Linked DNA regions of Caenorhabditis elegans. The protein of the gene in region 1 purifies or fractionates together with the protein of each later gene. This does not show direct contact. Each region holds a gene or a part of one and is shown on either strand. Other genes may lie near its edges.

Region 1 (4,806 bases):
AAAATGTTCGCAAAAATTGTATTTCAAACTCGGAAAATTCAATTGTTTCTTTTTCTGATTCAATTCAATAATTTCTATTCATTTGTGATCCCAAAGGCAATTAGAGATTTTTTAAAAAATAAGTTTTCTGTTTCAAAACTTTTTCGAATTGAACTATTTCACCAATTGTCAACATTTATTTACAACGAAAGTTTCAGCCATTAAATTTTATTTAAAGTGTTAAAAAATGTTTTTCTTTCAAAAATAGAATATTGCCGAATGAGAAAACTGTTTACAGTTACGTGCTCATAACCAAACTTAAAAACCAGAAGTATCAAAATTTTTATATACATACAGTCACAATGTGTCAATTAGTCAGTTCTTCCACTAACAGATTTGGAAAAAAACATCGATATGCAAATTTGCCCTATTGTCCAAATCAAATCACACATTTTCCAAACAGGACCATTAACCAGAGTATTTCTTTTTTCCAATTTTGCGTTCAGTAAGTTTTTCATTTCAAAAGAATCTTGATTTATTACACCCGTCAATCAAACAACTGAAATTTTAAAAAATAAGAAATGATAGAAAAACTGTACATATGTGGATAAGATCTATACACCAAGTCCCAGAAAATGGACGCACTGTTTCAGACCGGTGGTTTCAATTTCATCTTTCTCATCTATGTCACTATCAAAGTTTCCATAGTAATCATCAGTATTGCCAGACGATTTTTTAGATGAATCAGAAGTTTTTGAAGGTTTCTTCTTTTCGTCGATCTGATCGTAGTAATCAGGAGATCGTCTGAATCGCTTGATCGGATTGAAGTCCTGAAAAAATTTAGATTTTAAAAATTCAAGTTGTTATTCACCTTGAGGAAATTGAATTTATCTGTCGAGAAGAATATTCCATTCTCCAACTGTGGTGCTTGAATCGGTTGTAAAATTAGTGAAGGCACAGATTTGAAAGCAAGCGGCGGGGCTGGTGGAATAGTTGGAGGCGCGAAAAATGGCATTTGAGTCCAGCTAGAGACAAGATCATTTCTGATTTCCAGCGGTTGTAATGATTCTGTAAATATTTTAAATATAATGAAAAGCTTACTTGAAATAAACATACTTGTCTCAGGGTTGCTACTCCACGTTTTGGATCCGTGTGCTGTTTGCACGGGAATCACCGGGGTAATAGATGGGGTATCATAATCCGCCCAGCGCTTCTGAAATTGTTAATAATATTCTCATTGTTCTAAAATGAGAAAAAGAAAACCATACTCTATTATCATCGTCTTGTAATTGTGCAGGATCGTCCATCATTGGTTTTTGAGGCTCATCATCAGTAGGCTCATCAAAATCGGGGATCGATGTCACTGGTGGTTCTGTGGATGGAGGTGCACCGCCTTTTGCATCTGTTGGCTTTTCAATAGATGTCATGAACCTGAACTTATTTTTTCTATAAGTTTCAATGTTAAAGCTAACATACTTATCAATCAATTGGAATCCCTTGGAAAATAATTTACACTGCGCATCATCCATGCCTTGTTCTTTGCATACAGCGTGAACTGCATCAGAGTTACTGGAAATTTGATTTACACTTTATTATATTTGTTTTTTTGTTTGCACAACCGTACCTGCTGATAGTTTTTCTAAGCTTAGCATCTCCAAGTATTTGAGCAGCAAGTTGTATATTGCCAAATGTCGGATCTTTTTTGAAGTTTTCAGCAGAACACGAAATGAATCGGCAAATACTGAAATTCCCAAAATAAAAAAAAATGAAAGTTCCAAAACATTCGAATTACTTACTTGCTATTCCCCTTGCAAAGTGGTACATCATCTAACGCAGTTCTCGAGTGTGATCCCAAAATTGATGAGTCGCGCATATCATCTTGAGTTGGAGCGTCCTTTAAAATTTCAATGTATTATTTGGAACTAATTTTTACGCGTGCTCGCGTATGTCATTTTCAAAATTTTTGAAGCATTGGAAAGTTCAGAATGCTCAAAACTACTGAATTTCGTGATAAGACGTTCTGAAATTTTTTTCAAAAACGGTATGGCGGTTCTAAATTTTGAATAAAATGTAAATTTTCACTAAAATCTCAAATTTTACTCGATTTACTAGAAATTTTGCGCGACCATTTGTGGATGTAAGTTTTTATTGCGTAATTTTGTAATTACGTCCTGTTTTTTGATTTAGGCTCTGATTTTGTCAAGTTTGCAAAATTGGAGATTTTAAAACAGTCATTTTTTCAGTACTTATAACCGCCTTCAGTAATTCTGAGGAATTTTGAGTACGTCTCATTACAAAATTCGGAGGTTTCTAGCTATTTTGGGTTTAAAAATCGAATTCCCAGATTGTTTTACCTCACCGTTTAAGCTTGCAAAGAAGCTTACAGGCAATATTGGTGATTCAATTTATATCACCTAATTCGATCAGTTCTGGAATTGACTCTGATTTTGAGCTTACTGGTTTAAGCTTACTGGTTTAACTCACTGGTTTTCTAAGCATTCCTTCGTTTTGAATAGGTTTTGAAGTGTCAAAGATCGGTCTCACGAGACTTAATGCGCCGGATATAATGTCATCAATTGAAACTGAAAATTGTGAAAGATTGCTTAGGTTTACAAGGACGCTAAAAATAAAACTTACTTTGCCTTTTGCTTCGCTCTGATAATACTACAGGTACCAATAACAGAAAAAGTAAGTAACATTTCATCTGGAAAAACGGCTTTGTGATCACAAAAAATTGAACACCTAATTGAAAAGATAAAGAACGAGGTTAAGGATAAGATCACGGTGACCGATTTAGTGAGAAAGAGACGAAAATGATAAGAAACGGTGAATAAAATGATATAGTCTTTCACTTTGGTGGGTCATGAAGCATGAAGCAACTACGATCCAAGACTGGATCAAGTGATTAAATGATGCGCCTTGCGACATACTCATGTTTAGTGAACTTATTGAAAAGGTCGCCTGACGCTTCTAGAAATAACAGTATTAAGGATGAACGTCCGGAGGTAAGCGGGGGAAAAGTTTTCCTAAAAACCGGTCAATTGCGAGACTCGTCTGCGCATCCGCGTGTTCCAACCATATTTCTAATATATCTCCATTCAACAAGCGCATAGGGAGATTCTCTAAATTTCGCTTGCGCAGGGTTGATCGATCGATCGAATTACTCCGGTTATAGTAGGACACTTCGCCTCCAATCCGGTGATGCAATTCATGGATAGAGATGATAGAAACAGCAAATCACAGCGGAAAACAAAAAAATCCACGCTCGCTTCATTGCTTCATGATTGGAAAAAGGTAGTTCAAGTTCAAGGCCGACAAAAAACAGAAAAAAATAGATAGAGAGTGAAAGTAAAAAATATATATAACAAATTTTTAATACTACAGCTGGTTTGCATGGTATTCTGATACATTTGCATAAACCGTTTTTTTTTCACTTTTTTTCTGAATACGTGCGTAATGTTTGTCTGGCTTGAAAGTACACAGAGAGAATGAAAAAAAAAAACAATTCCGATTGTGATATGCATGTTATTCATTCAATGAAAACGTGTACTTTAAAATGTTTTAAATGACAAAACACCAGATAACCATAGATTTAAAATCGAAGTTGTTAAATAAAATCACAGAAGTGAAAAGTAAATGAACATGAAACTTCATCTATTGACATTTTCTGCGAGTACACTGCCCATGTTCAATTGGAACCACAGTTGTTACACAGAACAAGACAACGGCGGCAGACGACGCACGGAACCGAATTGGGAAGGGATTGAAGATTCCCGCCTCAAAGTGGTTTGGATACTGAAAATAGACATTTTGTAGATATTGTTCTCCAAATTTCCTAAATTCTTGATACCTGAACATTTTTGAACAGTGACTCTTCAAGGCTACATCCCATATCATCAATAATAGGGTATGGCTGGAAACCTGGCTCATCCGAGCTCAATGTGCAATTTACAACTTGGAGGCAATTTCCAGTTATTGGCTTACACTTTATTTTATAGTAAATCTCGTCGTCAAGAGATGCTCCTGAAATTTTTGAACTTTTTGAAACAATAACAGAGGCTGTTTGACAGACATTGTATATGTTTGTAGTTTTTTACAAACTTCTTTTTTTTTTAAATTCAAATTTGTTATTTTCTGAAACTTTTTTCAAACACCAGAACTAAAGCATACCTGAAACAACTTGTCCATAAGGTCCCTTTTTGTGAATCGAAAAGTCGCACGTTATACTATTATCAACAGTTTTCGACAACAAGTTCGGTTTTTGTTTTGACTTATAGATGGATAGCGTGGGCGCTAGAACGCTAAGAAAAAGTATGAATACGAGAAGTTGGTTGGACATTTGTATGCTGGATCGATTCATTCCATTCTGGAGATACCCCGATACAAGTAGGTCATTGCGTTCGGAACAATGTGTTCTTCTTGATTTATTACTTTTCGTAGACGATAAAACATTTGAATTTTTTGATGTACAAGTTAAGAAGTAAGCATAATTTAGGATACATTTTATTTACAGAGAAACAAAAAAATGAAGGAATGAGGATGGATTTTTTTCTGAAAGATTTATAAAATGAGTATTGAAGAGAAGAAGATACTCGTTATAAGTACATTTCCATCTTTCAATTATTGGCAAAATTCGTACAAAACATTCACAGGACGGGAAAGAAAGTGAAAATATGATAAATAACTATAATTTTTGAACTACTTTACTATTTTAATCTATTTCTTGGTTGACATTTTCATCATATCGCTGACCATATCATCCAGGCTGGCAGAAGAGGATGACGAACCAATTCCGTTTTTTGAAACATCGACTTTGGTCAAGTTCTT
Region 2 (5,268 bases), on another chromosome or scaffold:
ATTTCTGGGTCTTTTCTATCCGTGTATTCGGGCCTGCGGCCCTCAACCTGGATTATTGGGCTCAGAGTAGGCTTAAAGATTGTCCAATACTTCTATGTGTATTTGGGCCTGCAGCCCTCAATCCGAATTAACTGATCTTTTCAAATACAGACGTAGTCTCATAAAAGTCCTCCAGCCTGCTCTGCTGGAAGTAGGGATAGAAAAAGCCTAAAGTTTCTAAGAGTAAGCAGGCAGCCCTTATCCCTGATTTTTGGATTTGAGTGAAATGAAATAGCATTTGGCCTGTCCTGCTGAGGTTAAAAGTGGCCATAATGTTCAAAAAGTGCGGTCCTCAATATGATTGGAGCTATTGAAACAAATTGCTCAAAAAAAAACGCCAATCCTAAGCTAAGATATAAGTTCTCAAAGTGCAGTCACATTTCTCGGGACACCTCATGTCGAAAACGTGCCCTTATTTTTTATTTCTGTCAAGTGTGCAATTTACGGATTTAATATAGGAACACTTGAAAGCCCGGAAATGTCGGCTGCGGTTCTTGGTTGATTTTTTGTTAATACAAGCTTGAAAAATCTTGTGAGATGTCTTCTACTGTTTCGACATTTTGAAAGGAACCGGGAAAGTGTCGGCTGCAAACAAAGTTGATATTAAAGTCAGCATCCGACATCTCAATGGATGTGGCCAATTTTGAAATGGAAGCCTGTGCTAATGCACCATGATAAACCCGAATAAAAGGGCACTGAAGATCAATTTTCATTCTTTTTTTCGCATTTTTGGCGACCCAATATCTACCAATTTTCCAGCGTAAAGTTAATTTTCTGCCTGTTTTTTTTTTGCAAACACGGCAAATGTTGTAAACAACATATTAGTATCAAGGTCAGATTTGGTCCAAACCAGCATGATTCTTGCCCCCCTCTACCCTAAAATAGTTTGTCAAATAGAAGCCTCAATTGATTTTTCACATGAAAATTTTTCAAATACCAACTTAAAAATATCATAACTCAGCTGAAAGTTGAGCTAGCAAAAAGTTTTCCACCAACAAAATGTTTGAAAATTAATTTGAAATATTTTTGTAGTTGACAACTTTTCAATAGCTCAATTTTCAGCGGAGTTATGAGCTTTTGAACTAATTTTTCACAAAAAAAATCTATAGAATCTCTTTTATTCTAATTCTCCATTCACATCAAGTAGTCCGGGTACGTGTAGGCTCTCTATAGAGGACCGATGCTCAAGGTCAACAGAGATAAACATTCCCGCCCCGTCTGCGACAGATGGACAGAGGTCACCTAGTTATTTAGGGTAGTCTAATGGTCCCTATTGCCTCTCCAACGGGGGTATGTAATAGGGGGAAGACGGACAATTATTGGGTATTTTCCACAAGTTTTGAACTATTTTTTGGCTGTTTTGTCCGATTTCTGACAATTTTTGGACTATTTCTAGCTATTTTTCGACTATTTTTTTATATTTTCGTTGAAATTTTGCTATTTTTGGCTACACTCTGGCAATATTTTACTACTTTCGAATGCAGCTTTACTACTTTTTGGAAATTTGTTTACTAGATCATAGTCATTTTTTGTCAGTTTTTCACAATTTTCTCGTTTCTTTCAACGTTTTTCTCACTTTTCGCACCAATTTCCCACTTTTTTACAGGTAATAAATACCTACATATGAGCTTAACACCACTCCCATATGAGTGCCAGAAATGTGTACTACAGTTCTTTGAAGCTAATAGGAGGTATGCTTTTATTTTTTTTTGGAATTCTGATTGTAGAGCTGAAAAAAGTTTTTGAAAAGCTATTAAAGTTTAAAAAGAGTTTGGAATATATTTTAGTAGGTTACTTTTTCAGAGCAAAAGTTGATAAATTTACAGTCGATGCATCATGTTTTCCTCAACTTTAACAGCTCAAAATTCAATTTTCTTTGTGTAAAAATTTATTAAAACGGGCTTCGGTAGAAGTATAATAACTTAAGCAATTTTCTGTCGATGAACCATGTTTTGCTCAAATTTTGAGCCGTTCCTAGAAGTGGGGCAGCTACCAATATTATTTTTACTTTTAAACACCTATCAACCTACTTAAAATATTCCAGATTTAAATTAGTGGAACGATGTGACTCCCTAAAAGCAGCCGACAAAGCTGCTCCCCTCCACATCTACAAGCTCTACATGAATCCCCGTGTCATCCGAATCAACCGACATAGGTACACGTTAGGACTGCTCCGCCACCTACCGAAAGACCATGTCTACTATAGTCCATATATCAACAATGTGAACTTAGATGGAGGTGCTGCCTATGATATGGATCAGTATGGGCTTAAGGATCCCCGCTGCAATGAGGTTTTGAGCCCTGGAGATTTGAAAGTTGAAAGCAAGGAAAAAATTAATAATATGGAGGATATGACAATGGAGATGTTGCAATTTGCAATGCGGGATTTTATAAGACCACAGGGGCGGATGCAGGTGCAGCAGAGGGAAGGTAGGTGATAAGGAGTCCAGTGATATGTCGGCTGCTGTTTAAGAAAATTTAGAGCACTATCTCAGTTGACAAATTTGTGATAGCTTGATTTCTAGCTGAAATATGATAGCTTAAAGTGTTTCGGCGGCCAATTTTTGTTTCGGAAAATCTCAAAAATATATTTTTCAGACCCTGAAAGCTCTTCCGAAGATGATGAGGATGAAGCAGAAGATCTTCCAGCAGAAGGATCAGATGATGAAGACGATGACCCCCAGGAAGCTCAGATCCGGCGTATCCTCGGCGACGCTTACCTCCCAAGAGCACGCTATTCATCTTCAGAATCCGAAGCATCTGAATCCGAAGACGAGCCAGACATAGATCCAGCAGTCACCGACCAACTCGAAGCATACACGAATCCATACAGCTGGCGAGAGGAAAATGAACCAGCTCCATACAGATTTGGCATCAGATTCCAAAGGATGAACTTAGACTTCAGGCGGGACAGGGAGACTTTCCATGGGATCATTGAGTATCTGGATTATAACAAGAAAATGTATGATGCGATGAAGTATATCACAGAGAAGTTGTTCGGAAAAAGAGCTCACCCAATTGTGATAAAGACCCTGGAGCTTGGTGATGCAGGTGGGGTCTACCGACTCCCCGAGAATTTTAAAGTGAAAGTTTCCAATATGAGATTTGGTACGGAGTTCGGACTGCTTTGGGATGGTCTGAACAGTATTTTCCACGAGAGCACTCTGCCTTTCAAGAGCTTGCATATGCCTCTAGAGCACGACCACCCAGTTATCCATGCCACCCAGCGTCTGGTTATCGGAACTGAGAAAATGTTTGGGGAGAACTTTGCCTGGATCCCTTTCCTACTGAAGCTTCCACAGAAGAATGTCTACATGCTTCATAGTCCACTGTTCCATCATGACTATGTGCAGCTGATTGATAATTGGATCGAGACACCGAAGAGTATTGGGACCTGCTTTACGTTTGGTGTTAAGCAGTATCACGCCACCCAATCCACATTGAACTTGCTCGGGGATCATCCGATGGTTGTGAGCAAGAGGATGGAGGGAGTAGAGTAAGTTCGCAAAATTCAGGATGCATCGATGCACCAGCTGGAAATTTGGAGCTCCGATGCACCATGTTTTTAGGGAAAAGTCGACAAAAAATCTTCATTTAGTTTTTATTTGAACATTGCACTGATATGTAATACATCGAAATTTGAGTTTGAGGCTCTTTAAATAGATACAAACTACCTCACTTGTGCTTTTTCGAACTTTTCAAAAGCCCGTGAAGTGTCGGCCGCTGTAACTTTTCTCCTGGTAGAGCTAGTGGAAAGTTGTCAACTACAAGATTGTAGATGCTATTATTTGCAACGGTTTTGCAGTTGAGCAATTTTATGAAAGTAGTTGGGTTTTTGAGTTATGCTCTTTCGAAATTAGTTGTTTTTTTTTTGCAAAATTATCCAAAAACTAAAACTCAAATTTCTAACAACTTTTACAAAAACTTTCGTGTTGCAAATGCGTTGCAAAAATTCTGACTTACAATTTCAAATTTTTCTGTGGCAGAACCTGTTCTGCGGCGCGCAGGTTCGATTTTATGCAAAAATTTTTTTTTGAAGTTTAGCATTACACCTCAACTATGGAGGCTTATATCTTGATGGAAAATTGTTTACTGGCAAAATAATAAATATTACTTTCACTATAATTTTTTATTAAATATTCTAAAATTATCTAATGTACATACTAGTTTATAAACTTCCAAAGTTGGACTCTTCCCAAATTTTCCTTTTTTTCCAGCTGCACCGAATTCCCTCACTGCTTCAACATCCCGCTGACCTATGAATCCGAGCTTAATGTCTACGGTAAGAAGAGAACTGAAAACTTGGACCCTTTGGAGTTTATGCCACATGTCAGTTGGTGCCTGGTCTTCGAAGTGATGCCAATTGGAAGCGCTTTACCATTGGAGGACTGATTTTTCAATTTGCTAATTTTTTTTTTCAATTATGTCTTGTTGTCGTGTTTTTGATAATCTGAAATTTGTTGCGTGGATTTTAATAAAATGTTTTTTTGGTACTAAAAATGTTCCTAAATTTTTCTATATTTTGCTAGTTACCGGCTCAACGAAGGTGGTATATTTTAAAATCTGAATATCTGTAAATCTACAAAAGTTAGCAAAAGATTGTCAATTAACAAAATAATCTACGCAAATTGTTCTATAAGTTGTTAATTTACAAATTTTTTGTAGCTCAACTTTGAGCATAGTTATGATAGCTCTAAGTAGGGACAGGTTACCTGATTTTTATCAATTTTAAAACTTAAATATCTCCAAAAGCATCAAAGCTAATAAAAAATGTTGGGTATCTACGTGTACCTTACCCTTAACGTGGATATGAAGATCGTGTAACGTGAACTCATTATCTATGTATACTAACTTTCTATTTATTCCTTAGTTATGTAATAATAAACTACTCGTCTTCGCCTCCTTGTTCGGCCTCGAATATATAACATTGGCGATCAGGATCTTTCGGGCTCACTGCACCACTGACTTCATGCACATGTCTACTTAGAAGAAAAGACCTCTGAGGTATTGTTTTGATCTACACATGTCTACTGGGAAGAAAAGACCTCTGAGGTGGATCAGGTCAGCTTTGGGAAGAGGCACCTGCCGTGCTCTCTGCAGTTGCAGTCAAGGTGGACAGGAGCGGCTTCTGGTTTGAAGTCGAAAAGAAGAAGGAATCATTGCTCAACTCTTTTGAAGATGCGAGTGAAGGCCACCTATGCGTTTCAAATGCTCAGTCATTGGACGATT

Evidence for each region.
Region 2: the proteins of F46G11.2 (region 1) and fbxc-51 fractionate together in Caenorhabditis elegans (co-fractionation; one large-scale study listed by BioGRID). This does not show direct contact.

Annotation. Positions count from the first base shown.
Region 1 is NC_003284.9:5,786,040-5,790,845, reverse strand, and holds F46G11.2 (uncharacterized protein), read right to left. Parts: upstream 2,686-4,806; 5' UTR 2,684-2,685; coding exon 2,617-2,683; intron 2,562-2,616; coding exon 2,464-2,561; intron 1,874-2,463; coding exon 1,776-1,873; intron 1,721-1,775; coding exon 1,604-1,720; intron 1,549-1,603; coding exon 1,456-1,548; intron 1,411-1,455; coding exon 1,248-1,410; intron 1,193-1,247; coding exon 1,096-1,192; intron 1,048-1,095; coding exon 851-1,047; intron 810-850; coding exon 594-809; 3' UTR 501-593; downstream 1-500. Other genes in the region: F46G11.6 (ZP domain-containing protein), read right to left, coding at 3,634-3,774, 3,830-4,002, 4,150-4,318; gakh-1 (Protein kinase domain-containing protein), read right to left, coding at 4,696-4,806.
Region 2 is NC_003280.10:867,169-872,436, forward strand, and holds fbxc-51 (F-box C protein), read left to right. Parts: upstream 1-1,645; 5' UTR 1,646-1,662; coding exon 1,663-1,730; intron 1,731-2,083; coding exon 2,084-2,469; intron 2,470-2,637; coding exon 2,638-3,535; intron 3,536-4,256; coding exon 4,257-4,431; 3' UTR 4,432-4,531; downstream 4,532-5,268.